4 linked regions of the Mytilus edulis genome follow. The protein of the gene in region 2 purifies or fractionates together with the protein of the main gene of each other region. This does not show direct contact. Links are inferred from orthologs where the notes say so. Each region holds a gene or a part of one and is shown on either strand. Other genes may lie near its edges. The genes, in order: syntaxin-binding protein 4-like, serine/threonine-protein kinase PLK1-like, heat shock factor protein-like and anaphase-promoting complex subunit 1-like.

Region 1 (7,608 bases), on a different chromosome or scaffold from region 2:
ATTAGCTTTGAGACATGTACAACATGCATGACATGTTAGACATGTTAATTAGACACGTGAAAAACTATAAAAAAATAATAAAATCAATATATTTCAAATATTGAGAAAATCAGTGGAGACCGAAAACAAATGGAAAAGGTAAGCCGAGTCAAAAGAGTAAGGCTAAAAAGATTTTTTCTGATTGGACAAGCTAGCTTGATATCAAGGAGCATGAGAGCTGATGAGCAATAAATGAAGGTGTTACTATTACCAAAAATTTGTAAGGGTTCCGCGGAACCCAGTGTCTCGCCTATTTTTGCTGTAAATCACAGGCTCAACAACAATGAGGAAAAAAATCAATAAAAATATTCCTCTTGTTACTATTTTATGATTGTAAGAAAATCTAAGTCCATTTGAAAGTAAATTACAGAAAAAAACAGAGTAATCTTTTTACAAACTTTACTTCTGGATACAATCTTATGATCATAAATAAGGTTATTTCCAAGTTTGGTACAAACCCAGGATAGTTTAAGAAAGTTATTTAAATTTTAAAAACTTTAACCACAGAGTGAATGTAATGGTTCCCTGCAGAAAAAACTAAGTCCATTTATAAGTAAAATACGGAAAAAATTGAATTTTATTTTTACAAAATTTTCTTCTGGATACTATCTTATGATCATAAACAAGCTTCTGTCCAAGTTTGGTACAAACCCAGGATAGTTAAAGAAAGTTATTAAAATTCTAAAAACTTTAACCACAGAGTGAATGTAATGTTTCCCCGCAGAAAAAACTAAGTCCATTTATAAGTAAAATACGGAAAAAATGGAATTTTATTTTTACAAAATTTACTTCTGGATATTATCTTATGATCATAAACAAGCTTCTGTCCAAGTTTGGTACAAACCCAGGATAGTTTGAGAAAGTTATTAAAATTCTAAAAACTTTAACCACAGAGTGAATGTTTTGTTTCCCCGCAGAAAAAACTAAGTCCATTTATAGTAAAATACGGAAAAAATGGAATTTTATTTTTACAAAATTTACTTCTGGATACTATCTTATGATCATAAACAAGCTTCTGTCAAAGTTTGGTAGAAATCCAGTATAGTTTAAGAAAGTTATTAAAATTTCAAAAACTTTAACCACAGAGTGAATATTTGTTGACGCCGCCGACGACGCCGACGCCGACGGAATGTAGGATCGCTTAGTCTCGCTTTTTCGACTAAAGTCGAAGGCTCGACAAAAATCTATACTTATTCTAAATCTACCTTATGGATCGCATATTATGTACGACAAGTAATAGTTCAGTGGATAATACCAGATGGAGGCAACACAGAACAGACACACAAAGCTGTTTTCAGGTAATCTTAGTCACATGATCATGATAATACTTTAACATACATGACATATATATATATATATAGTCTGAGGATTTATTTATTTGCTTGGGTACCTTCGTGGATTGAGGTGATATCTAATTTCTTGGTTTTGCCAAAGTTTGTATACAGTCATTTATAAAATTGTAATTTGTTCATCAAATTGACTTTAACCTCGAAATCCAACAAATATTTATGAATTAGTTAATGATTTAGAAGATTGAATTGATAAGTTTTATTATGATATCATTCATGTACCATGTGTACAAGTCCTTTATTTTAGCAAATTTTTCAGAAATGTGCACAGTTAGTAAGGTAGTATGGAGGCGGGGCTTATTTCATACATGGTTAGTAGTGGTGTTACCTCCTTTTATATTCCATATAAGGTAGTAGGGAGGCAGGCTTATTTCATACACGGTTAGTAGTGGTGTTACATCCCTTTATTAAAACAAAACGGTACTGAGAAAAAAACGTAAAGGTTTCAACAGACGAAGCAATTGATGATTCAGATTGAAATAAATTCATAAAACACATTTAAAATAATGATACTTAAAGATGTGATTTTTGGGAAGGAAATTGAGGTATGATACTTAAACAAGTGATTTTTATGTCATTATTCTAGATTCAGTACAAGGTCATCACCTGAAATGACCTGGTCATCCTACCAACACAGATGTTGATTCTGATAATTTTAGAAACATAATTAGTCTCTGGATCATCAGTATTCTATATTTAAAGCTACAATAAAATTAAATCACTTCTTCTAGTGATTAATTTGTACTACTTAAATAGGTGATTATTAAAGAAAGCTAAAGACAACTCTAACTTCCAACCTTTGTGGAAATAATGTTACTTGAATCAGTGATTTAGAAAATCACTCATTTAAGTAAGTCCCCTGACTGTTTATGATTAACACTAACAGGTTATAGATCTGAACGGTAGTAAAGTGACTATGCAAGAACATGTTATAAAATTGTAAACATGAAGCATGCTGCTGTCAACCTACATGTAGTCCAAATAATTATGACGTCTTGGAAGGCTATGTTAATTTTTTGCTTTGATGCATTCCTGCGATGTGGGGCGTCAAAGAAAAAATATAATAGACTTTCAAGATGTCATAATTATTAGGACTACTGTCAAGGATTTGTATAGTAAGTCTTACTATATAGTCGACCTTCGTATGGATAGAAACAAGTGCCTGTGTGCCTGCCCCCAAAAAATTATGGACAGGTAAAATAAATTTATGGTATGTGATAAAACTTGACAATATCTCATGAATACAGTTTGTGATGCAACCTAAACCGTTTTTTTGAATTATTCTTTGAATAAAATAGCTGCAAATAAACAAGGTATATGTAATATAAACTTTAAACCATATCAACATTAGGGGGGGGGTAGGAGGGGTCCTGATCCCGAAATCACGGGCTTAAAAACACGAAATCCCGAGGTCCCGAATTTAAATAAAGTTAAATCCCGGATCCCGAAATTTGAAAAAAAGAATTCCCGGATCCCGAAGGAGTAAATCCCGAAATCCCGAGCTTAAAAACACCCGATCCCGGAGTCCCGATAAAGGTCCTATCCCCCCTCACATTAGAACTTACAAAGTTATTTTTTCGAACCGGAAACAAGTATCACCCTACTACGCAGGCGCAAATTGCTAATTTTCCCGAGATTCATCTAACGGCCGCCATAACAGCTGAGAGAAGTTGTTTATCGGCTCAAACAAAGATCTACTACAAAGCAAGGATGATTTGGAACTATTTATGATTATATATTTCAATAAGCTTAAACTAAGTCTCCCAGAAATGTACTGTCTACTTAGAAATCAAAATGATGACAAAACAATCGCAAGCTGAAAAATAAACAAAACGGTGTCACAACAAAACCACTGTCACTGACACTTTGCTATCCTGTTTCCTCAACAAGTTAAATAAAATAAAAACACGCTTCATATATTTGTTTTGTTAGAATATGGGATCAAGAGGCGTACCTGTGGATAAGGTAACTTTTGTTAAAAATATAGTAGGTTAGCTATGCATGCAAAAAAATGTGTCCTTTTCTTTGCTGAACAGTGAACTTTATGAACCCTGCAAATGAGTTAAATTAAATCAAGATTGTCGATTTTATAGAAAATCAACATTTCATACAACTAGTAACTATTTATCTTTTATTGCATTCCCCCGATATCCGTGAAGGGAAATTCAAGCTCATATACTGACAAAAATTTCACCCAGTTTTTGTTATTTTTTGCATGCACTCAATATCCGGTCAGTTGCCACTAAAACATGTTCGCACCACACACGTTTGCCCCCTAGGTCTGTTCGCATCCTACTCCTAGCACCCAAATTGCATGCATGCACCAAAATTTTATTCAAGTACACATCAGTCAGGGATGTAACTCTATCATTCTATAGGCAAAATGATAGGGTTATTACAGGAAAATAACATACATTTGTTATTGTGGACTAAAAAATCAAAGAACTGTGATAACATATGTATGTTACATGTTTCAAAGAGACAATATACATCATTAGTGGTGCATTTTCGTCAAAAACTCTGGTTTTAGTGAACATCATCCCTGTGTTTAGGGGCATCGTCACTTCTGTTCTAATGTCATGAATGTTGAGTGAGTGGTTGAAAAACTATAATACTAGATATTGCACGAATTATTTGGCAAATTAAAATCTCATAATTGTCAATCTGAACTGCTGTCATACGGGAATTGTGATTAAGTACTTACACAACAAACATTATTTATAGTTTATCCTGCACAATGATGATCACTAAGACGCTTGATGAATATTAATAGTGCAGGGATACAGGCGATCCCCTCTATCTGATACTGATAAATGACATCATAATGACACACATAATTGACCAAGTTTTTCCGGTGCGTGAAGATAAAATGTACACTTTCTTTTAGAGGACATAAGAATCACCTGTTTTTGATGAATTATGTTAAACATTTTCCAAAAATAATGTTAACAATAATTATTATAGACCTGACAAAGAAACCTGTCAGAATCTAACTTTATTTCGAAATAATGGGAAAAAAAGATATTTATAGCATTTTACACTGAGAAAAACACAAAACCATTGATTGTGTTGATTAAAAGTGTGCAAACAGGCTCTAGGTCATGTAGGTGCAAAAGTGAAAGGGCGGGACTATGTTTTGGGGTGAAAAGACTGTGATTCTGTGCACTCCAAAAATGTGGTAGGATAGTCAACCAGTGGATGGTGGCCTCTAAATGACTGGAAGAAGAGGGTAAAGTTAAACAGAAAACGAACTGACTACTCCATCATGTCCATGGCAAAATACAAACAACATTTTTTTATACACTTTCCATAAATTGTTTTACTAAAGATTGAGCAACATGAACCCCTCCATAAACCTGGGGTTATGGCCGTTGCTTCTTAGGGAAAGCAAATCTTGCTTCACATGTGACAAATATGTTGCACATATACAATCCTACCTCGCATGTGACAATTATGTTGCAATTATGTACAATCAGTGATTCACTGTACAATGTACATGTACACATGTAAGTATAAATTCAATGACAATGTTGTCACAGTTAAGGAAAAGAGGACAGTTCTGAGTTATTTCCCTTCAAAGTCTAATGAATTTAACCATTTCCTAGATTATTGACGATAATTTGATTTTCACTAATCATACTACATGTAATACTAACATGTAATAGACAGGATTGATAAAGTGTAACTTTCAATGTCAGAAATGATCAGCAAGACATTATAACATAGATATGTCAAACATTGGCGAACTTGTCACACAAACAATTAGAAATGACTAAATTTTGGACTCGACAGACAAGCTAAAAAATCTAGGGCTCAAAATGCTCGTCTTGACAAGATCTTTACAAATAGGTCAATTGTACACTATAATTTCTTGTTATTATATAGGCCTGGCCTCTCTACTAGGGGTTTTCTTGGTAATAACATATATGTACATGTATATATATCATGTATATATATAGACCCAAATCCTTCCTTCTACAGCACCACTTTAGCTTATAATTAAGTCAAGTAATTTTAATGCAATATTTGTATTTTCAATTTCAGATAAACCTTAGACTTATACTGGTTAGTGGCAAGACAAAAGAATTTTTGTTTTTACCGAATGATTCAGCGGCAGATATAACCGATCATGTTTATACAAACTGGCCAACAGGTATGTTCATATTTATCACGTTTATAGAATTTTATGTGTATACTATAATAAAGTGAATGTTTACAATTTTAAGTATAACATGTATAATGGTAATGGCTGCGAAGGTCCTAACAATAAATAAAATGAAGAATCATGCTAGGGGGCACCACTTTATAACAGATGAAAATGTAATTCATTATTAAACATGTTAAAATCAAATCCAATTTTATGTTAATATTTAACACTCTTATCTGCTAAATGATTGGAGTTTCCCCCAACATAAAATCTTAAATCCACACCTAGATTAAATTTGAAATATAACAATATGTAAATGATGTACAGTACAAGCAAAAATGACAACTGTTCCTTTGATGATGAAAGTTTTTAATGACCTTGACTGGCTATGCAGTCCTTTCAGTTGGTAACTGTTCCTCCTTCATACATGTAACAGATTCCTTTTATTCATTGATTTACACAAAAATTTACAAGAAATTTTACAAAGAACACATAAGATGAACAGTCTTAAATATCTATTCAGGGTGTTCCGATATTTATTTTAAAATTGTGTGTGTTCGTGTCCTGATTTATGACCCTGTCATATGCATATAGGTATATTTCTGTTGTTATTTACATCGAGACATTGGTAAGTCATGTAAGTTACAGTCTTCACGCTGAACTGCTAAATCTACAGACCCGCATCTCAATTTTTGAAAATTTTTAGTTAGATTCTGTTGGCCTGTAGGTCTGATTTTTACAGGCCTGAGAGCAATTTTACCAGCCTGGGTGAAGACTGAAGTTAAACACACAGAAAGACAATGCTAGTTGAAACACACACATGACACAGAAAGACATTGCCAGTTAAATCACACACATGACACAGAATGACATTGTCAGTTGAAACACACTCATGACACAGAAAGACATTGCCAGTTAAATCACACACATGACACAGAAGGACATTGTCAGTTGAAACACACACATGACACAGAAAGACATTGTCCAATGAAACACACACATGACACGGAAAGACATTACCAGTTGAAACATACATGACACAGAAAGACATTGTCAGATGAAACACACACTTGACACAGAAAGACATTGTCAGATGAAACACAAACATGACACAGAAAGACATTGTCAGTTGAAACACACACATGCCACAGAAATACATTGTCCGATGAAACACACACATGACACGGAAAGACATTGTCAGTTGAAACACACACATGACACAGAAAGAAATTGCCAGTTGAAACACACACATGACACAGAAAGACATTGTCAGTTGAAACACACACATGCCACAAAAATACATTGTCCGATGAAACACACACATGACACGGACAGACATTGCCAGTTGAAACACACACATGCCACAGAAAGACATTGCCAGATGAAACACACACATGCCACAGAAAGACATTGTCAGTTGAAACACACACATGACACAGAAAGACATTGTCAGATGAAACACACACTTGACACAGAAAGACATTGTCAGATGAAACACAAACATGACACAGAAAGACATTGTCAGTTGAAACACACACATGCCACAGAAATGCATTGTCCGATGAAACACACACATGACACGGAAAGACATTGTCAGTTGAAACACACACATGACACAGAAAGACATTGCCAGTTGAAACACACACATGACACAGAAAGACATTGTCAGTTGAAACACACACATGCCACAGAAATACATTGTCCGATGAAACACACACATGACACGGACAGACATTACCAGTTGAAACACACACATGCCACAGAAAGACATTGCCAGTTGAAACACACATATGCCACAGAAAGACATTGTCAGTTGAAACACACACATGACACAGAAAGACATTGCCAGTTGAAACACACACATGACACAGAAAGACATTGTCAGTTGAAACACACACATGCCACAGAAATACATTGTCCGATGAAACACACACATGACACAGACAGACATTGCCAGTTGAAACACACACATGCCACAGAAAGACATTGCCAGATGAAACACACACATGCCACAGAAAGACATTGTCAGTTGAAACACACACATGACACAGAAAGACATTGCCAGATGAAACA
Region 2 (7,015 bases):
CATTTTATTTATCTTTATGTAAGAAACTAACCTGAATAGTTAGACTTTCCTTGCAATTGATCCCTCTCACTCGCAAGGGCCTGATCACAATGCAAGTGAACTCTTGATACAAATGCAAAACACTTCAATTATTTCTATTGGCTTTTTTATAATTGAGTAAATAAACATAATTATATAAAGTACCTTGTCCTTCTGATGTTGTTTAACCAGCAGTGATTTGGGAACAACCTTCCCAGCAAATAGTTCTTTTGTTTCCACATCTGTCAACTCGTAGCATTTAGCAAATCCTCCCTGTAAATAAGGTACAAAACATTTAAATTTACAGTGTCTTCCACTTCATGTTTTGCAGTGTCTGTAAAAAGGGGAAAACTATAATTCAGGACCTATAATTCCTTGGTGCTGTCTGCTATATTTGTTTTTAGCATAAATGATATCAAGATGTTTGTTTAATACTAAGAATTTGTTTCACATTTATTGATTAAGTTTACTGTTATATATGAAACTTTAAAAGCTTTATTTATACTATATTGTATCATACCCCCCCCCCCCCCCTTTTTCATGATTTAAGGCAGTTGTGCGCCCTTTAGTTGTTTACATCCTTTGGACTCTGATGAAAAATTGTCTCATTGGCAATAATACAACTTGATAGTACAGTGTACAGCAGTTAGTCCGTTTTTTTTTTTATCTTCATAGCCACATTTTTGGGAATTAATTAAATCTTCAGTAAGAAAGCTAAGTAAGGCCGTTAGTTTTCTCGTTTGAATTGTTTTACATTGTCTTATTGGGGTCTTTTATAGCTGACTATGCGGTATGGGCTTTGCTCATTGTTGAAGGCCGTACAGTGACCTATAGTTGTTAATGTCTGTGTCATTTTGGTCTTTTGTGGATAGTTGTCTTATTGGCAATCATACAACATCTTCTTTTTTATATATAGCACTAAATATATATCTAATTATAAGTTACAAATATATAAAAAAAAAAACTTATCAGCATGTTAGGAAAAAAATACTATTAAAAATAATAGTAAACTTTTTTTTTGCAGAGCAGAACTGTACTTCACCATACAATGTATGTACAAGGGGTGAAGACAACACAATTTCTTAATAGTTACAAGAAACACATATTTTATTTTGGTCTATAGAAGTACAGTGAATCAAAAACTAACCATTGATCTGAATAGACATTTAATTAATTGCAGACAAATCTTGTTTAGTTAATCATGTTAATCTGATTTGTAAAAAACAAGCTCTTAATGGATTAATTTCATTTAAATATCTAATCCATATTTTACCCATAGAACTATAAATCTTTATTTTTGCACTGGATATATATATCTTAAATCATTATGAGGGTGGCTGTTTTTAGCACAGACATATAATATTTATACAAAATGTAGTGCACTGCAAGCATAATTTATTGATGGCAAGCTAAACACAGGTTTAATGTACATAATGTTACTTTTCAAATTTTGTATATTGCTATTTTGGAAATCTGTGCGCAACAAGTTCACTGAAAACTTGACACACTGGAATTATGAAGTCATACAACAATCAAATTTCCTTAGTGATGCCAATATTTTCTATGTCTATAATGATATGATTACTACAAAATTTTACAAGACTATTTAGATGTCCAGTCATTGCCAACAAAAATGCCTTCTCCTCACAAATTTAATACTGTGTATTACCAACAGTCACCTTAATGATTTGTCTAAATTAATTAAATGCTTCCTTTTATCACATATTTCTGTGAACCAATAATAATTCAGCCATGGTGTCTTGGGGCCAAATAATGATTAACCTTAATGTTCGTACCATGACAGCAAATATCTGATATCTAATTTATTTTTATATCCCTAAAATTTGATACCCAAAACATCTTGAACACCTTCATTATTATCTGGAGTGGAGATCAGTTTTTTCACTGTAAATTTCCCGATTTTGCAGTGTATTCCAAACTCTGTCTAACTGACAAAATGTCAGACAAAAATTCATTCGGTCAGACAGACATCCTCAAATTTTTTAGGTGAATATATAGTGGAAAAACTTCAAATTTCTTTTTCAGTCAAACAAAACCTAAAAGTTTGGCAGACTGTTTTGCCTTTTGGATATGGTTTAGGATGTTCCCCCAATCCTCAACCTCCTTACATTCAAATTCTACTAGGTTAAAGATGTGATTGATATCCGATACACCTTATGGATATTTTCCACCATTACTGGATTGCACAAATTATAATGACCATGCCATGATACAAAAAAATCTGAAGCCACAATGGAAAAGCGATTGTTGTATGAGGTCAAAAGTTCAATGGGACAGAATCTCGGGTCAACCAGGACAGATTTCCAAATATGTGTATTAATTTTTTTTTAGCATAAAGAAATCAGCTGTATGTTAACAATGTTAAACATATAAAATTCTGGATCTTTGCCAAAATCTCAGCTTAGAAAATTATACAAAGAAAGGTAAAATAATTATCAGGTTTGTTTCCTTATATTGAAATCACGCGAAACATTTTTAAAATTGACTTTTCATAGATGAATAATTTTGAAATTTGTGTATTTTTTATTTGTTATACTATCATAACACAAATCTTAGACATGTCATAACTTGCATAATCAATAAAATAATAAGGTAAAGGTATCAAATTACTTTTAAAAATGTATATATTGAGTAAACTCTTTTATTGAAATTCTAATATGTAAGTAAAAGGCATAGAATTTTTTATTTAGATTCAAATGTGTTACCTTTCCGAGAAATCTTCCTTTCAAATATCGTTTCCCTGAGCTTGGATCCACAACCATGTCAGGAATTATATCTTTTTTCATCTCTTCTCTTCTCGCGCTAGACATTTTGATATTTCTATTTGGATGCGTAGGTCAGGTAAAAGAAAAAAGCATGAGAGATTATTTCACCGCAGTAGTATTTTAAAAAGAGTTGTCTCTATTTTTCAAAAATATCGTAGTCTCCATTCAACTTCACAGACGAATTTCAAATTTGAGTACTTCGGAAGGTATTCAAATCAACAATAATTTGATTGGTCAGATCTTAAAACCGCACTTTTGATTGGTCAATTGGCTCCGCCAGGTGGACATGTTGTTTCTTGTCACCTTTTGGAATACCTCGGATATTTTCCATGCAATACACAGACGACTATTCATACTATTTAATTGGTTGAATAGTATTGAAGTAGACCAATCAAAATTCTGATATCTAAAAATAATACCGGAAGTTGAAGATTGCAATACACAAAAATGTCAATGCTTGCAGAACCTCGAAGAAAACAAAAGCTATCTATTGACCCAAGAGGTTCAAACTGGAGTAAAGGTATTGGGGGTTTACAGAAGAATTGTCTATATATGTCACTCTTTCATTACCACATTGTCAAAATAAAGAGAAGTACGGGAAGCAAAATAAAAATGAACTGTTATTTACCACGTGTTCCTGAAGTTGAACTAAAGTTATGATGACTTATTTTGTATACTGTACATTTGTATCTCTTGTTACTGTCATTTTGTATGCTGGACAGTATTCTGTTTGGGCACGAATTGATTGTATATATATCATGATCTGAATAAACTATAATATAATCATAGTTTGCATTCAAATTTAACCCAAAGTACACTAACAAACATGTGCCAATAACACACATAGGCACCCCAGTAGTTGTAAAGTCAGTTGATATTTGGTTCTTAAACAGTCATGTGACAACACGTAGTTATCTTCTTAATTAGTTTTATGGTTGATAGAACATGTGTCAATAGTACAACTGTCAGTAATAAGGTAATTAAATTGGTGTGTACACTACGTTTTTCATTAATTATTTTAAAGGTATTTGAAAAGGTGTCCAACTGTACACATTGCTGTATTCAGCTGTTTTTATTTAAATTAAAATTCTTTATTAACTTTGACCCTTACCATACTTACGGCAGTGATGGCTTTTCAATACTTTAAATTAACTGACATAAGTCTTAATGTTCATCTATTTATTTTGTTAACATCCTTGCTTATTGCTTTCATGTAATCTGTTAAAGAAAAAAAGTTTTTATAATATAAAATATGTTAACAAATAATTTATTTCAAATAAGATGAACAACATTGTCCATCACAATAAAATTCTTCTAGTAGTTGGAGTATGCAATATACATGTAACTTACAGGCTAATTTTATGAGATATTTTATTTAGTCTTAGTTCGTTATGAGCTGAGTTAATACGTGATCCTCCAATTGGTGCTTTTTTGTGGAAATTTTATGTCTCTTAAAGTAAATTTCTTTCTGTCTGTCTCAAGGCCTGTTGCGAGTTTCCCATCAAATGACCCCAGTTCAACTGGAGCAGTTGATGAATTTTGAATCAAATTTGAAACCAGTTTAACTAAAAACTGAACAGGATTTTACTGTGTGTATTTTACTGTTCCTTCAAAGTAGTTTCAAGTTGGAATTCCCATAAAATAATGAATTAAATGGAATGTTTTGATTGACATGCACAATTGAGTGGCAATAGAAATATTCACCATAGTAATAGGGAATTTAAACTGTTTAACTGGGTAGACTTTCTTAAATGCAATGCATATCTGTCCTCTTGAGAGTAGATTTTGTGGTATAAACATATTTGTCTACTATAGCTAGGGGATGTTTTATGACCTTGACTTCACATGAGGGTAACATTTGTCAATCCTTTTGATGAACCATAATCAAGATACACTCAAATTGCATCTGCAGTGATATTGTTGGCTTTTTTCATAACTACCTCTACCCTTTTTTATTGGGAAGATATGCATCATTTGTATCAAATTGGGAAATTTGTAATAAACCATGAATTTGACTGGAACTTCAATTTGCAGATCCCCTTTTAAGAGGTAAACCCTCATTTGAAATAAAAGCCCTTATTGTCAGTGATGATACATAAATAGACCCTGAAATCTGTACATATAGTAATTTTAAGGCATGAAAAATGTTTAAATGAGTGTTTTTCAGTTTGTATTCATGCACAATTACTACTTGACTGCACTGTTTGGGAAAAAAATTGTCTTTTTGGGAATAATTTTAAGCCATTTTATTTTCAAATTGGGATTCTTCTCCAGGGGAAAAAGCCTTTATTCTCCAGTAATTTAAGAAAAACAATATCACTGATCTGGAAAATGAGGAATTTGATTTTAGATTTCAAAAATCACAATTAACATAAAACTTTTTGAAATATTTCAGATGAATCTAAATTTGGACAGAAAATGTTGGAGAAGTTTGGATGGTCTAAAGGAAAGGGACTTGGGGCAAACGAAGATGGGCTAACAGATCATGTAAAAGTATCTCTGAAAAATGACAATCATGGTTAGTATTTATTCTGTCTGTTAGTTATATGATATGAACTGAAAGATGAAAATCTTTGATGTTCTGTATTATTTAGCTAAAATAGACACCAAGAACTGTACCATTTTACAACAAGGCAAACTTGGGCACAATAAACAAAGAAGTAAATAACTTAAATAATATAATATAAGAAAATCTAAAAACATATTTTGTTGATGAACCTTGGCAAGAATTAAAAACAAAACTTAACCAACTAGTCCCCGAGTCTATTGAACACCCAGAGATGAAAAAAACATATAAACATATATATAAGCAACTCAAACGTCAAGTACAAAAACAACTTAGACATTCATACTGCCAGTACACTGAACATATAGTTACACCAAAACCTGCGGAAAAATACTTTTCTAACAAGAAAAAACTTGGTCTGCAAAGTACATAATTACAAATACCTTAAATTGGGTTATTTTGGTTGTAGTTTTATTTTGGCTTTTTTGGTGCCTCCAATGAAATTGCCAAAATTAAACACACGAAAATAAATCAAAAACTAAAAATTGACGCTCGAATCAAAATTTTTTAAAAAGGCCAAATAAAGTACGAAGTTTAAAACATTTAGAACCAAAATTCCTAAAAAAATTGCCAAATACAGTTAAGGTAATCTATTCCTGAGGTAGAAAAGCCTTTGATTTCAAAAATTCAGTTTAGTTAACAGTTAATTTATAATTATGAACATATCAATGATAACTCAAGTCAACACAGATATCTATTTATATATATTAATTTGATATCTATTGCAATGTTTATTTTTAAGGTCTTGGATGTTCTAAAAGTCAAGTAGATAACTGGATAGCACATCAGGACGACTTCAATGCTCTCCTAGCTAACCTTAATCAATCTAATACACAGATTGATACTGAAAAGGTATCCAGTCTTGAAAACAGATCAAAAACATCTAAAAGTCGTGTACAGTAAGTTTGTTTGTTCATAAGCTAAGAAATAATTTTATAATCTTGCTTGTTTAAAGATATTGTCTATTTCTATTTATTAGACATCATAAGTTTGTTTCTTGTCTTTACAATCTTGATTTTTATGAATCATCATTTGTTTGATTATAATACACCTACAGCTTGTAACATTGTTCAGAAAATCTATTACATTTCATAAAGTAATTTCTCAACACGAACCATATACATGATTGAATTTACAACTTCATTAGTACCAGATGTAATGTGTACATATGAAAAACTAATTTGTAATATTTACATTTGTATTTATAACAACTTTGTAGATACATGTAACTGGCAAACATACTAAAATGTGTACAATTTTCCATTAGTAAATGATATCATGCTCTCTACTTTTTCAGTGATTTATCTTAAAATATTTCAGTTACCAGAAGTTTACAAAAGGTAAAGACCTTTCTGCAAAATCCAGTCAAGACCTTGATTGTATATTTGGTAGACGTACAACAAAAACAGAGGATACCGTAGTCTCGGTTAGAATCAATTTCCAAATTCTACATAAATTGAAATGTTTAAATAAGAAAACTATCTAGATCTCAGAATGAATGAAATGTACATAAAGAGAGGTTTTATATGCCACAAACAATATTAGGGGGGGGGGGGGGGGGGCATTATAATTTCTGGTCTATCTTTCTGTCCCTTACTAAGTGTTTGGTCAAGGTAGTTTACCATGAAGTTGTACTCGCATCAAC
Region 3 (7,109 bases), on a different chromosome or scaffold from region 2:
TTGAAGTAATGTGGTAGAATGTCTTTTGCAAATCTGCCTTGATCATAAACATGGAAACTGGTTCCATTCTGAAATAAAAATACAACATGTTAGCATCACAGAAAAAAACACAGTAAAACTAACAAGATTATATAATCAATTAAACAGAAAACATCAACACATTACCAGCATTCCAAGTCATTTGATTCCAGGGTCCAGGGAAGTGTTTTTTCCTCCTTAGCACAAGAGTAAAACAAATGCTAGTGTCAGGTGTACGGTGTGGTGCTGTAGATGTAAAAGGCACAGATTTGAGACCAGGTACATTTTATAGGTGGCAAAGATTTTCCTAAATAGATTTAATTGGGATTAATTAAGTGATTCTCAGGACAGCAAACTAGCATTTTACTTCAGAATCTAAATTCAAAAGGGATTGAGATGTCGATTGCATCATTGTACATAAAAAAAACACAAACATAGAAAACCAAAGACTGAGCAACCCTCACCCCACCAAATGCAGCGAGTAACCTAAGTTGTAACTGAAGAGTAAGCAAATCTTGCTGCACATAAACAGGAGCTATATGCCTTCGAATCGCAAGATCCCTTCTTTTAATAAAATTAAATTGAAAATAGGTTCTCTGTTTGAACAAGTTGAGCAAACAATCCTGTCTTTTCATTTAAAAGAGAAGATAGCAATCAAATAAACCTGAATTTTGAACTTGGAGTTGGATAAATTGGGTCATGTGTCTTTGTTGCAGTTCCTTGAAATTCACCTGGTTTAACAGGTAATAATTAATTAATGACAAGTGGATATTAGAATCAAGCTCAATGGTCGCCAATGTAACCAGAGAGCATGATTCTTCTTGCAAAATCGCAGGTCTCCACCGGGACATGAAATCGGGACCTCTGTCAGTCTGTGTTATAATTTTATTGAAAATCAAGGGTGACACAAACTTCTCCCTCATGCTTCTTAAGAGCAGTAAGGAATCTTAGGACTATAATATCGTCTTTTTACACTGGTGTGGTGACCCATGCACTACATGTCAAGAATAATTTATAAGGATATATATAACTTATCCTGGAATGTTGGTAAGTCGTTATCCTAAGGACATTTTTTTATATTTTTTTCTGTAGACTTAGCTTTGATTTTTTATTACCATGCATTGTCAAGCTTGGTAACTCATAATTGTTTCTCAGTAACTCAATGTACGATGCTGCCCCATACTGAACCTACTGACCTTGCTTTGTTTACATTCAAATTCCAATGGCGTCAAAATCACGTGATGTAAAATCGTTCTACCCAATCAAATTGCTCTACTGTCAATTACAAATGTAGGTGATTTTTCAGTCTACCGCAATTACGTTATTTGTTTGTGGGATATTGCTTTAAAATACATGTAGTTTGCAATAATTTGGGGTTTTATTCAACAGGAAACCTCATTTTTTGCCATCCTCATCAATGGAATTTTGTATGAATATTTACCATTTACAGTCATGATGGTCAGAATATCGATCTTTTATAATGAATAAAAAAAAAATTCTATGAAAAATAAATGTAAATTGTTTTTTATTAACCTACTTTATATTCCTGACCAAAATTATGGCATGGACATCGTTTTTTCATATAGTTTTCCTTTCATTTTGGTTGGGCTTTTTTCGCGGGAAAATTGCGAAAGACGTAGGGAGCATGTCATTTTGAAATTCTTAAAAATACAATTTGCTTGACTTATATTGCCTGCCACAAGATTGATGACGCTGAATGGAATGACACACAAAGCAATTGAGGCCGGAAGTGGGATTTTGTGAAGTTCTAGAATGTTTTTAGAATTCGAAAGTCAGGATTGAAACGGGCATTATAGTCCACGTCACGTAAAATTGGCACCCTGTTTTTTGTTAAAATTTTTTTAAATATCAGCCGCGTTTACTCAAGATGGTGTTTTTCTTTTAGCTGAAGTAAAATCCTGTCCAAATATCCACTACTGTCCTACCTTTTATTGTGTTTGCACTGTATAATCCTGACCTTCACATTTTTCAAGATTATTTACATTGTATAACCGCCATCTTGGTTTCTATGAGGGTCCCTTATTCCATAACATTCGTTACTCTCCGGTAATATCATTGTCATTGATGATACAATTTCCCGCGCTTTTTACGTAAAGATGACGAAAAGCTCCGAGAGACACAAGAAAATGGAGAGCACGTGGAATACTTCCGGTAATAACTATGTCGGATTCCACCATACAAATTAATCTTGGATTATGTGAAGGTCAGGATTATACAGTGCAAACACAATAAAAGGTAGGACAGTAGTTGATTTTTGGAATGATATTTGATTACGCTAATTCAAAAACATGATCTTTAATAAACGCGGTCGATATTTAAGAAAATTTTGACAAAAACATGGTGCCAATTTTACATGACGGCGACTATAGAAAATTGGCATTTTTTAGCCATAATTGAGAACAACAATGAAAACTTACCTTTAGAAATGTTTTTTTATTCAAAAGAGCAGAAAAAACGTATTCTGCAGTGTTTTTCTATTCAGGAAGTAGCGTAGTGACGTCAATGTGTAGTTTCCCCGTGTGTTAAGTTCAAACACAAATACCTAACAAACTGACAAGATGACCGATTTTAGACTACGGTAGGATATAACTTTTTCAGTTTTGTTGGAAAATTAATCATATATCAAATAAAGATCATTATATCACACATGTCTCAATTTCAGTGGGTTTTTTTTTCGTTATTACGTTGACGGACAACAACTTTTTAAATCAACAGGTAAACTAAGTAGACTGAATTTGATCCTAATAGTACCCTCCCCCTTTTTTATGTATTTATTGATTATGTCATGTTGTTGTAGTTTACCTCGCCCCAACAAATCAAATCATCGACCATAGGGTTTTCTACAAGTGTCCATAGCTTTGTTAGAAAGGCTGGAACAGTGCTAGGCATGTTTTGAGAAGTGTTATTCACAATGTACATATCCGACATCACGAATTCAGTTATTTTTTCTGTTAGCGCATGTGCCGATCGAATCAACACTATACGAAGATGGAATATATTTCGGCACTTTTTCTTTCAAAAAGTTCTATAACATAATTTCTAGATATTCATATAAAACAAAAACAAAAATAATTGATTTTTGCTAAGATGAGCTGTTATTATATGATCCAGAATTTACATGGTGCAATGTTTTAATTTAGATTAAAGGGTTCATTTAATGTGATCTTGTCAACTGTCCGAACTTTACCGAAGTCTGCATTTCACCGATTGTCGGCCGGTCGGCCTTGATTAAAAATATTATAATCTGATCGTCAAACAAACAGTTTCTAATACAGTCAGGATTCAACTTCGTCAAAATTATCTCCCCATTACGCCAGTTCATTTTCACAATCGTAGAAATGGAAGCCATTGTAGAGGGGGGATAGGACCTTTATCGGGACTCCGGGATCGGGTGTTTTTAAGCTCGGGATTTCGGGATTGACCCTCTCGGGATCCGGGAATCCTTTTTTTCGGATTTCGGGACGTCGGGATTTACTTTATTTAAATTCGGGACCTCGGGATTTCGTTTTTTTAAGTCCGGGATTTCGGGATCAGGACCCCTCCTATCCCCCCTCATTGTAGGGATGACCGTCTCTGCCAATTTTGCTCTTGGAAACCGATAAATTTATCCACATCGGTTGCACCATTACGATCCTGATATGCCAGTTGTATTTTAAAAGACAAATGTATCAACTAGAAAATGGGCATCAGTTAATGATCTTGTCTGCATTGATTCAACTTAAAACTATTGTCTGATCGGTTGTCAGGTGGAATTTTCGAAAATTCATAAACATTTAAAAAAAAATTAATTAAATATTTCGTGGAAGGGCAGACTAGATTTTTTTAGTGGTTGAAGTCAAGACTATAAACCCTAGTTATCACACACAAAAAAAATATAATTTTTTTTCGAAGATATGCATTTTCATCATCCAACTTGAAAGACTGTCGTCAAGTACTTTTAGTAAAAAAAATAGCTATTCGAATCTGTTTTTGTGATTCATTAGAGAGGTATTTCACTTGACCCATATATTTCATTTTTTAGCACTGTGATTTTCTTATGTTATAAAGTCAACCTGTAGCTTTGATATGTAAAAATGATAGAAACTGAAGCGAGACGATGTATGAAATATTCTTGCTTTGTACGATATCGAGACAAAATGTTCAACTCAAACACGCCCTAACATAAAAAGGTGCACTCGATTTTCTCTTTTCGATACAATTGTTACCCTTTTTTTGGAATTTTTTCTTGAGTCACATAATGGAAGGGTAGACACGAAAATTAGTGAACTAATAGATTGATATGTTTTCCGTCCGTGGTAAAAAAAATAATAAAATCGGAGGTTATGCATTTTCTACATCCAACTTGAAAGATACCCATGTCGTCGACTTGATATCTAATATGAAATTGTAAAAGTACTATGATGATGTACACAGAAGAAATGTTTAACATAATATGTGATTCTATATTATTTATCGCGATTGATGTCTCAGATTTTTAATCTATAATAAGAAATGGAAGTCTTCCACCGTTTCCATCATTTTTCTTTGTATTTTCTGGTGCTATCTTTTTTTTGTTCATGTTGCATTTATATGTTGCTTCTTAACGTAATTGTCTTTCTGTTCCCACAAAAGTGTATGTACAATCTTTACATAATCTTACCGTGAATTAAGGGCCATAAGTTACGAGTTCAATTTGCTAGTGTTTGATATCTAGTATTTATATTTACCATCAACTGTTGATATCGTGTAATATGACTGTCGGACAGTGTTCGGAGGTCACCAAGATGGTTAATTAGATGACGTCAATAAATAGAATAAAATACACTCGACTGAATGCGGTTATAATTAATGAATAAAGTATCAGGACTATCAGGTACATGCACCTTAAATTGTTTAGACTTTTCAGTATAATTTGGAAAAAACGTTTTAGTATGTAAATTTAAAAAAATAAGATAATTTAAATCAAATCAATGAACATGAATTTAACAGCTAACCCCCCTTATGCGTGACCCATACTTTTTTTATTATATTTTATTTTGAAACAGCAAGATACACACTACATTTTTGCAAATCACTAAAACATTCTATCTTTTGACATTTATTCCCCCCCCCCAGGAAAAAGGATAAATCTACCTTAAAATACACTAACAAAACAGACGCGTATCCAGGGCTTAAAGCGGGGGGGGGGGAGAGATTTTTATTTGATCCCCTCATACAAATATTTAAAAGAATCTGATCCCCACTATTAAACATACCCAAATGTTTTAAAACATGCAAAACACTTATCATATTATTTTACGGAAATATTGCAAACATGAAATATTCTTAGTGGATTGAGTCCAAAAACATATTTGAAGGAACATTGCCATGAAATAGCCTAGGACTCTTCCATGAATATCATTAGGTAGAGCAAGCCAGTGCTTTTGGAAGCTTTTTCTGACCTTTTCCTCCTTATCTCCTATATTGGGCTATTAAAGAAAGCTTGTTCCTAAGTAACTCTGGCTCTCGCAAGAACGCTGCGTAAACTTAAGTTTTACGTTATTGAAATCTCGATCCCTTGAGTGGATAGTTTATGCTTTCAGCTTGAACAATCAAATACTCATAATTGTCACATTTCATTCATAAATGTGTGAATGTAACTCCAAAAAAAATATTATTAGCCTAAAATGTACAAATTTTGAGGGAATGAGAGGTATAAAAATGGACCCAAAAGGATCTTATAATGAAAACATAAAGGTATATAAGTGATGTTCATCGTCTCAGAATCATCTTTGTGTCAACATTTAACAGTTTTTATGCAGATTAGATGAATATTTGATCATTTATTGGAGAATTTATTACTCTACACTATATTATACATGATGCGGCGTGATTTGAATTGTTTGACACAACTTTGCACAAATCGCTGTTAGATTTCCTTAAGATTTACACTTCACTTCTCTCAAACTGTCCAGGTGATTATAACAAAACTATGAAGTAATGCTTGTTAATGTAGTGATTGACGTGAGTGGCTGAATATAACGACATGATTATTCGTGTTATGAAGCGCCAATGCATTTTATATGGAACAAAATGACACAAAATTGCAGATTCCTACATCACCAAAGTCATGTGTTGTTTTACTTAATTGTTACAGTACATGAATGGTGGTAAAACTATTTTTCCATTTGATTGTTCTTCTTGACATTTTGTCTCTTTAACTTTAAGTATGTAAACTCTCATTTCCATATGCATAAAATATTGATCCTCCACTTTGAATTTATAAACAAAATTTGAACCCCACTTTTCCACATACAGAAAAAAACTTGACCCCCTGTATTTTGACCAGCCCCCCTCCCTTTCCCAGGTAAAAAATGATAAGTCCCAGAATTGTGACTTGGATGGAGAGTTGTCTCATTGGCACTCATACCGCATCTTCTATGGCTATTTAAAAATTACTTTTGTTATTTAATCACAGATCTTATCCGCCCATTTTTGCAATTGCTCAGCTGTATCAGCCCTTGCGTCTATTCCACTATAGCTGGCTTTTCATGTGTGTGAGTAAAGTCTAATTGTGCTGAGATTTTCATTCATCATTTGCTTTTATCCAGTTCTGAACTGGTTTCTTAACAAACTGTACGAGGTTGTGGTCAGTAGCGAACAAATTGCAAAATTTGCAGCAAACTCCGTCCTGCGTAGTTGAAGGGACAATCCATTGGAAATAGTGCAGCCACGCATATTTGAAACATCTTTTCAACCCGTAGATTTCTTGTTTTCGTAAAAGGAAAAGAACTAGGTGGGTTTCGGTTTTTATTTAAGCACTAGATACAGATGTGGAAATAAAGTTGGAATATCCTTAGATTCAGCAGGCGTCTCAGCAGTTGCAGAATTTTCTTTATAAAAAAAAAGAAAAAAAAGCGATTTCCAAGTAGGGGTTCCGCTAATGCAACACTATGGTTTTCAATGATTTTCTTTGTAGCTTAAAAGACTGTATTTGCTAATTGGTAAATCATGTAAGTCTACAGAAAAAACACTAAAGCACGTTAATATAATAAGTAAAAATAAAAATAAAACGGCAAAATATACGGCCTTGGATATCAGTCATGTGTATG
Region 4 (7,583 bases), on a different chromosome or scaffold from region 2:
GGCAGGAATGATGTAGTACAAACTGTGCATTGTCAATGATTCTGCATTTGTGTAGTTGAGATTTATTTGTTACTGGGCAGGGCTCACACTACTTCAGAATTATAGGGAGAAGTGACTTCTCTTTTTGAAACTGATAGGGAGAAGTGGTGAGATTTGAAAGAGAAGTGCTCATTCGCGCGGGTGCGCTACAATCTGTTTGGATTTTACAATAGTATAAAGGGCCATATGTAAATAATGTTCTTTTTATGTTGATCAATTCATATGAGTAAAAAATTACAATTAAAGTAACATTTGAAATTAAAAGTTGTTAAAGTTTTACTAAGGTTCTTGTGAGAAACTACCAACTAAATATCTAGCACTAAAAAAAAAATTTATTTTAAAAAATGTAAAGAAATTATATCAATTACAATTTAATTAAAAATTATCTTGTGTATGAAATTCAGTGTTTCTCATAAAAAAAAAATATAAAAGTTATTAAGCTGGGCCATAATATATTGATATTAGTATAACAGTCTCAGAGTTAAGCAACTTTAATCAATAGTTTGAAACATTCATAAAAAATATAGGGAATTATATACACCAATCAATTAGATGTAACCAAAAGTCTCTTAATGCGTGTGGGATGCGTAATTTTTCCCTTTGGGATCAATATTCTTCTGTCAGCTGTTCCATCCGTGCGTCCGTAGTAATTATTGTAAAAGTACGGATTTCGGTCATAGCTGGTCCGGTTCAGATGTGTAGTTTAGAAATCGGTCAATGGCGGACGAATGCAAGAAAATTTACAAAAATAAACGATGTTTGACAAGTTATTTGGAAAGGAACATGACGGTTTTAATGCAATAAATGGATTAAACATTTACTGGAGGCAACTTTTATCACGTTTAAATGAAGTAACAAACTTATTTTGCTGCCGAAATTTAGGTTGATGTACGTTTTTTCTAGTAACAAGCACCGGAACTTGCGAAAATGCACGAAGTGATAAAAAGTTGTATTTTTATCAAATAACCTGATACACACTGCGAAGACAATGCTTCAACCTCTTTTCTAAAGATAATGAATAGTTTATGTCTGAATTTCTTTAATTATCAGTAAAAAATTGAAAATGTCCGATGACGGAAGCGACTAAAAGCGACTTTCGTCAAGAACAGGGCGACTTGTTATCGCTTTTGGGGGTCGGGGAAAGCGAAGTGACGGTCGGGAAGGCGACTTCTTCGCCCAAGTCGCCTGGTAGCGTGAGCCCTGACTGGGTCATGTAAGTGATCCTTTTGGTTGGTGTAGTAATTAGTACATATAAAATTGAACATCGTTTTCAGTCAGATTGATAACACTTTCTGCAGGTTGGTCAACAGATGGCAATCAGTCAGGGGACTTACTGAAATAAGTGATTTTTAAATCACTTATTTGAGTAGCAAATTCGAGGTTTTGTCACAAATGGGATTTTGTAGTTTTTTCAAACTTTTAAACACATAGGTTTAAATAACATCTTTAAATTAGTAAAATTAAAAAATATGAACTTTTTGCTTCTTTTGAGTAGCAAGGTTTATGTCTTTGATGCTATCATTTACCTGAAAATTCTATTTTAGTTGAAAAAATGCTATAATAATGGCTTTACATAATGAACTGATACTTTCTTAAAAGATTTTTCACAGCAGTGGGAGTAATTTTCCTGTGAAGTTCAAGGTAATAAAATTCTACTGTTCGCGATAAAAATTTCACTGTTCGGGGGTGTTGAAATTAGTTGGGGTTATTAAAAGAATGATACTTAAAGAAGTGATTTTTGGGAAGGAAATTGAGGTCTGATACTTAAACAAGTGATTTTTATGTCATTATCCTAGATTCAGTACAAGGTCATCACCTGAAATGACCTGGTCATCCTAGACAACACAGATGTTGGTTCTGATAAGTTTAGAAACATAATTAGTCCCTGGATTATTAGTATTCTATATTTAAAGCTCCACTAATATTAAATCACTTCTTCTAGTGATTAATTTGTACTACTTAAATAGGTGATTATTAAAGAAAGACAACTCTAACTTCCAACCTTTATGGAAATAATGTTACTTGAATCAGTGATTTAGAAAATCACTTTTTTAAGTAAGTCCCCTGACTGGCAATAAAATTGAGAAAGGAAATGGGGAATGTGTCAAAGCGACAACAACCCGACCATAGAGCAGACAACAACCGAAGGACACCAATGGGTCTTCAATGTAGCGAGAATTCCCGCACCCGTAGGTGTCCTTCATCTGGCCCCTAAAAATATGTGTACTAGTAAAGTGATAATGGACGTCATACTAAACTCTGAATTATACACAAGAAACTAAAATTGAAAATCATACAAGACGAACAAAGGCCAGAGGATCCTAACTTGGGACAGGCGCAAAATTGCGGCGGGGTTAAACATATTTATGAGATCTCAACCCTCCCCCTATACCTCTAGCCAATGTAGAAAAGTAAACGCATAACAATACACACATTAAAATTCAGTTCAAGAGAATTCAGGGTCCGATGTCAAAAGATGTAACAAAAGAAAATAAATAAAATGACAATAATACATAAATAACAACAGACTACTAGCAGTTAACTGACATGCTAGCTCCAGACCTCAATTAAACTGATTGAAAGATTATGTCTTCATCATGCCTATTGCGATTGCTCCCACAGTCTTGCAAAGTTCACTTGTACAGTTGTGTGCTTCATTGTTTAGTTTGTAATGGTCTTTTTTAAGTTCTATTTTTTTGTAGTATTATTATAAAGTTGGTTAGCCTGTCTATTTTATTATTGAACATGGTAAACATTATATTCATAAATTTACCAGTAAAAAAGCATTGGTTTTCAATTCGTCTTTATACATCCAGCCACAGTTCCTTTATAGTGGTTTGATTTTACTTGTGCTTTATATAAACACTATTTTATAGGCGATAAGCACTAATGTATCATGCTCAGATGAAATTCTTTGCTGTTCGAAAAATTCTGCCAAATTATTAAACCGGAAAACACAAATGTAATATACAAAAACAAATCCCGATCAACTATGCAACACATCCGGATTTAGCTGTAAAATATAAAGGGCGAAATAGTCGAAATAAGCGCTACGAATTTTGACGATATGGTCAGTAATTTTAATAAAATGGAATCTATCAGTGAACAAACATGCCTTGTTTGGTTCTCATGCATGTTAGTAATAATAATAAACTTGAGGCTCTAAACAGCATGGGTCGCTCACCTTGGTCTATGCAGAGACATATATACATGTGTATATATGTCTCTGGTCTATGTCATTGTGATCCAGTGCATATTAAACAAAGGCCGGACACTCTATAGCATTAATATAGAGACAAGAATAGAATTCATAACAATATTCTCTATTTTGGTGATGGTGACTTGATTCTGCCTTGTTTGTAGATCTTACTTTACTGAACAGTGTTGCTGTAAGTTACAGTTATCTCCATCTATAGACACAATAAATGATAAGGATAAACAATTACATTGAATGCACATTTTCAAAAAGGATTCGGCAAATCAATCAACTGTTCTCTATTAAAAGTGGGCAACCCAGACTGACACCTGTTGATTTATGTTGATTGTCTTAAATTCTGTTATATACGTTTTTACAGAGACATATAATACATATTGTATTATATATGTCTCTGGTTTTTAATATAACTATACACAATAATCTTGAAAACTTGTAATGAAAACATAATCAACCTAGTTGTTTTATACTCATGTAATTAAAAGACAATTAATATTTCAAAGGCCTTTTTTACCGTACTGCAGTTCACCTTTTACATTATAACAAAATTCATAAACATTTATGAAATTACAATTAATATATATCTTTATTTTTATACCTTATAAAAATATTTTTCTTGGGGCCAGATCGACGTTTGGCCGGATCGACGTGGGGCCGGATCAACATGAAAGCCACTTGGCCAAGTAGTTTCAGAGGGAAAGATTATTGTAAAAGATAGCAAAAATTTACGATAAATTGTGAAAAATTGACTTTAAAGGGACCAATTAACAATTTGATAATTCCGACTTATTTGTAGAGCTTACTTTACTGGACATTTTGTATGTTTGCTGCATGGCCAGGTGAGCTAAAAACAATCTGGTGGATAACTGGACATTTTATGTGTTTTAATTTTTTTAACATATATTCCTTAATCTCATCTTCACGTATTTCGTGTGTTCTATGTCTTATCTATACGGTTTTACATCAAATACAAATAGTGTAATTGTAAAATCGTATAGATACGAGTCAGGAAACATCTAATACGCGAAAATAAGTCAAATTATCAAGGAATATTAACTTTAGAAAACATTAAAAAAAAAAACAAAAAAAAAACACAGATGTATATACATGGAAAAAGGAAGTTCCTTTCCAAAAGTGCTTGGGTAAAAAAAATGGAAGCAGCTCGAGAAAAGGGCCGCTTTCAGTCTGCATTGAACTACCGTGAAACTTTGGTCATTTAAAATTCCAGCATCAGAATAACACCAGCTCTTAGTCAATTGAAAATTCAGCTTTTCATCGAAATTATCTATGGCACATAAAAAGAGATATGCTGATCAAGTAATGCATACAGATGTATGGTTCCTGCCAATGAAATTACGACGTCTTCTATCTAAAATAAATTTGCAGATTTTGGCACTATAAATAATAATACTATCACAGTTACTGGCTAGAACAATAGACAATTTATCCAGATTAGAAAAGTTTAAAACGTTTGAGTGTTCTGACAAAATAATTTTAAAAAGTTCATTTCGCAGATCATCGTACAACGGACACTCTCAACAAAACATGTTCCTCAGTTTCAATAAGGTTTTTACAGGTTTCGTAGGTCCGTTGTTGCAAAGGTAGCCTCTCAAATCGTCCAGTCTCTAGGCTGATCGAAGCAACACCACACCGAAACTGTGCGTATGCTCTTCTATGCGATGGAACTCATATATAACTTTGTGCATGTATTCCTCGATGTGTAATAACGTTTTAAACGATACTACCGACCTTAATAATCAACCTAACTAAAATGTCATTAGAACTTCTGGCAATTTAAACATTAATCTATTGTACAGACAGGTACCACAACACATATTCCAATAATGTTGAAGGTTAATTTGGTCAACTGTGACCTATCCCTGTGATCATGTTGACTGATTGACAGTCCCTCAACTATGCGGACCTTTTTATCCTGTTAACTGGTTGACGAGTTCCTAAATTATCACAATTCCATTCTATTCGATTTGTCAAATCTATCAACCAGTTCACTCGATGTATTACATTTGCTCGTTTTATTACATTTTACAGATAAAATCAGATAAACTTAGATAATCATTGTCAACAATGGTTCACCGTAATAAGTCCCGTAAACAGGCGTATCAACACGAGAAGTCCATTAAATAAAGGCAACAGTAGAATACCGCTGTTCGAAAGTCAGTAATCGATTTAGAGACAAACCAAAACTGAGGTAAACACATCAACTATAAGGGAAAAACAACGAAACAACAGAAACACTGCAGTGCAACAAACAAAAAAATCGACAAAACACACACAGAAACTAACTATAAGATAAAAACTGCAATTTTCCTGATTTGGTACAGGGCATTTTAATATAAAATGGTGGGTGAACTATCATTTTATTTGTTCAGTGAACCGAGAATTTGGGGTAAAAACTCTAATTTGACATTAAAATTAGAAAAACCAAAACTTTAACTTGAAGCGGGACAGACGGACAGACGCACAGACCAGAAACATAATGCCCCTCTACTATCGTAGGTGGGGTATCACCACTCCTGCATTGTCACACGATGATAACGCTACAAAAGTGACGTCACAGCAAAAGTGACATCACATGTAATTTCATTTTTTTTTCATATTATTCAAAATCAGGTTTGTATTTATGGTATTTGATGTATGATGTAACAATTACAATTCTATTAATATAGAATTGTGTTAGTAATTAGATAATTAATTGTATTATCTCGCTATGTCGGTATGTCTTAAATTGCCAAACTAACCTCTTATAATGATCTGGGTGATTAATTATCTTTACATACGAATAACATATTAAAAAAATAGAATTACAACTACAAACGACAACACATTTAACAATATCCGATCTGAATTACAAATACAACATCATAATTAAATAAATTAATTTTTGACATCAAAGTACCCTGAGACGTTTTATAGTAATGCGAAATCACACTCAGCAAAACAGTCAAATTCGGGAATAGGTCACGTTCGGTTCTTTTAAAAAGACAAGACGACGTAAATGGCAAACAAAGACGTGGAAAACTGTCCCTAGTTAGTTTATACAGAGACACATCGTATGGATCAACCAATTCGTGATGGTGTCCATAAAATTTACGGAGAGTCATTTTAATCGTTTCTCCTCATTTTGTTGGTGCAGTTTCTGCGTAAGGAGCACACTCCTGTATATGAAGTCCGTTTAATGTGAACATGCACGAGCATAACCTATTAACTGAATTATGTAAACACCATACGAAGGGACAGAGGGTGTGTTATTGCTGAGAAATGGGTAATTGATAATTGGGAAGTTGAAATCGTCCCGTTTGTCATAGATTTTAGTGTGAAGTTGTCCATCTGTTTCAATATTGAGAAAAAGATCAAGGTATGAAGCAGTCCTTCTAGTATCAGCAGTATCCTTAATTTCAAGTTCACCTGGATATATGATATGTAAGTATTGACTGAAATATGGGTTATTCAGTGATAGGACATCATCAATATATCTGAAAGTATTTTGCAAGGTGCTTTTTGTTTTTGTTTTTAGAAGGTTCTGAATGAATTCTGCTTCATACGAGTACAAAAACTAATCGACCAGTAGGGATGCACCATAAGTAGCCATTGGAATGCCGACTGTCTATTGAATTATCAACCCTCCAAACTCAACAAATATATTGTCGATCAAAAAGTCCAGCATTTTGATAGTATCACCTTCAATATCTTTTCTGGTAGTTTCATTGTGGTTCTTCACAAAATAAGAATTATTATAACCCGAAACAAGAAATTTGTATCTACGATTCCCACTTTTATAGAAAAAGCTCTGTTTATTGAGATGGTGAAGTCGATCTTTCAATTGAGCATGGGGAATAATAATGTAAAGCGTAGAAAAATCAAAAGTCTTAACGTTGCTACAAAATTGCAGATTTTGTGATCTAAGATTATTCAGTAGATCTTTAGAATTTTTGAGAAGCCACGTCTGGGTAACACCGTTGGTAGAATATATATCATCACAATATTTTTGAAGGCCATCTTTTACTGTAGAAAGAATAGTAGTCTGTAATTTACAAAGATGTTTAGTCGAATATTTTGATGATCCAGCTATGTATCGTTCTTTATATGGAGTTTTGTGAAGTTTTGGTATCCAGTATAATGATGGTAAATTTTCTTCGATTTATTTGATATGATACCAAAAGAAAGAAGAACAGATTTGTGATTTTGTAAAATTTCATCCAAAGAAAATGATGTTAAAGAATATGTAGGATTACCAGTTGTGATGTTTATTCCAAGCTCTGTTGTGAGACATTGTAAATAATGGCTTTTACATATGAAAACAATATCATTG

The links.
Region 1: the proteins of serine/threonine-protein kinase PLK1-like (region 2) and syntaxin-binding protein 4-like purify together in Homo sapiens (affinity purification with mass spectrometry; 3 studies listed by BioGRID and IntAct, counting the BioPlex papers as one, with this or other methods). This does not show direct contact. The link is inferred for Mytilus edulis from reciprocal best matches to the Homo sapiens genes PLK1 and STXBP4.
Region 3: the proteins of serine/threonine-protein kinase PLK1-like (region 2) and heat shock factor protein-like purify together in Homo sapiens (affinity purification with western blotting; 3 studies listed by BioGRID and IntAct, with this or other methods). This does not show direct contact. The link is inferred for Mytilus edulis from reciprocal best matches to the Homo sapiens genes PLK1 and HSF1.
Region 4: the proteins of serine/threonine-protein kinase PLK1-like (region 2) and anaphase-promoting complex subunit 1-like purify together in Homo sapiens (affinity purification with mass spectrometry; 3 studies listed by BioGRID and IntAct, with this or other methods). This does not show direct contact. The link is inferred for Mytilus edulis from reciprocal best matches to the Homo sapiens genes PLK1 and ANAPC1.

What each region holds. Positions count from the first base shown.
Region 1 is NC_092351.1:86,283,215-86,290,822, forward strand, and holds the start of syntaxin-binding protein 4-like, read right to left. Parts: upstream 3,004-7,608; 5' UTR 2,954-3,003; intron 1-2,953. Other genes in the region: ubiquitin-like protein 3, read left to right, coding at 3,324-3,353, 5,433-5,541. UniProt on the Homo sapiens protein: Plays a role in the translocation of transport vesicles from the cytoplasm to the plasma membrane. Inhibits the translocation of SLC2A4 from intracellular vesicles to the plasma membrane by STX4A binding and preventing the interaction between STX4A and VAMP2.
Region 2 is NC_092350.1:30,189,777-30,196,791, forward strand, and holds the start of serine/threonine-protein kinase PLK1-like, read right to left. Parts: upstream 3,028-7,015; 5' UTR 2,850-3,027; coding exon 2,745-2,849; intron 292-2,744; coding exon 184-291; intron 1-183. Other genes in the region: PIN2/TERF1-interacting telomerase inhibitor 1-like, read left to right, coding at 3,252-3,324, 5,200-5,322, 6,113-6,269, 6,691-6,796. UniProt on the Homo sapiens protein: Serine/threonine-protein kinase that performs several important functions throughout M phase of the cell cycle, including the regulation of centrosome maturation and spindle assembly, the removal of cohesins from chromosome arms, the inactivation of anaphase-promoting complex/cyclosome (APC/C) inhibitors, and the regulation of mitotic exit and cytokinesis.
Region 3 is NC_092348.1:32,811,080-32,818,188, reverse strand, and holds the start of heat shock factor protein-like, read right to left. Parts: upstream 3,008-7,109; 5' UTR 2,968-3,007; coding exon 2,842-2,967; intron 69-2,841; coding exon 1-68. UniProt on the Homo sapiens protein: Functions as a stress-inducible and DNA-binding transcription factor that plays a central role in the transcriptional activation of the heat shock response (HSR), leading to the expression of a large class of molecular chaperones, heat shock proteins (HSPs), that protect cells from cellular insult damage.
Region 4 is NC_092346.1:58,240,504-58,248,086, forward strand, and holds the start of anaphase-promoting complex subunit 1-like, read right to left. Parts: upstream 3,011-7,583; 5' UTR 2,813-3,010; intron 1-2,812. UniProt on the Homo sapiens protein: Component of the anaphase promoting complex/cyclosome (APC/C), a cell cycle-regulated E3 ubiquitin ligase that controls progression through mitosis and the G1 phase of the cell cycle.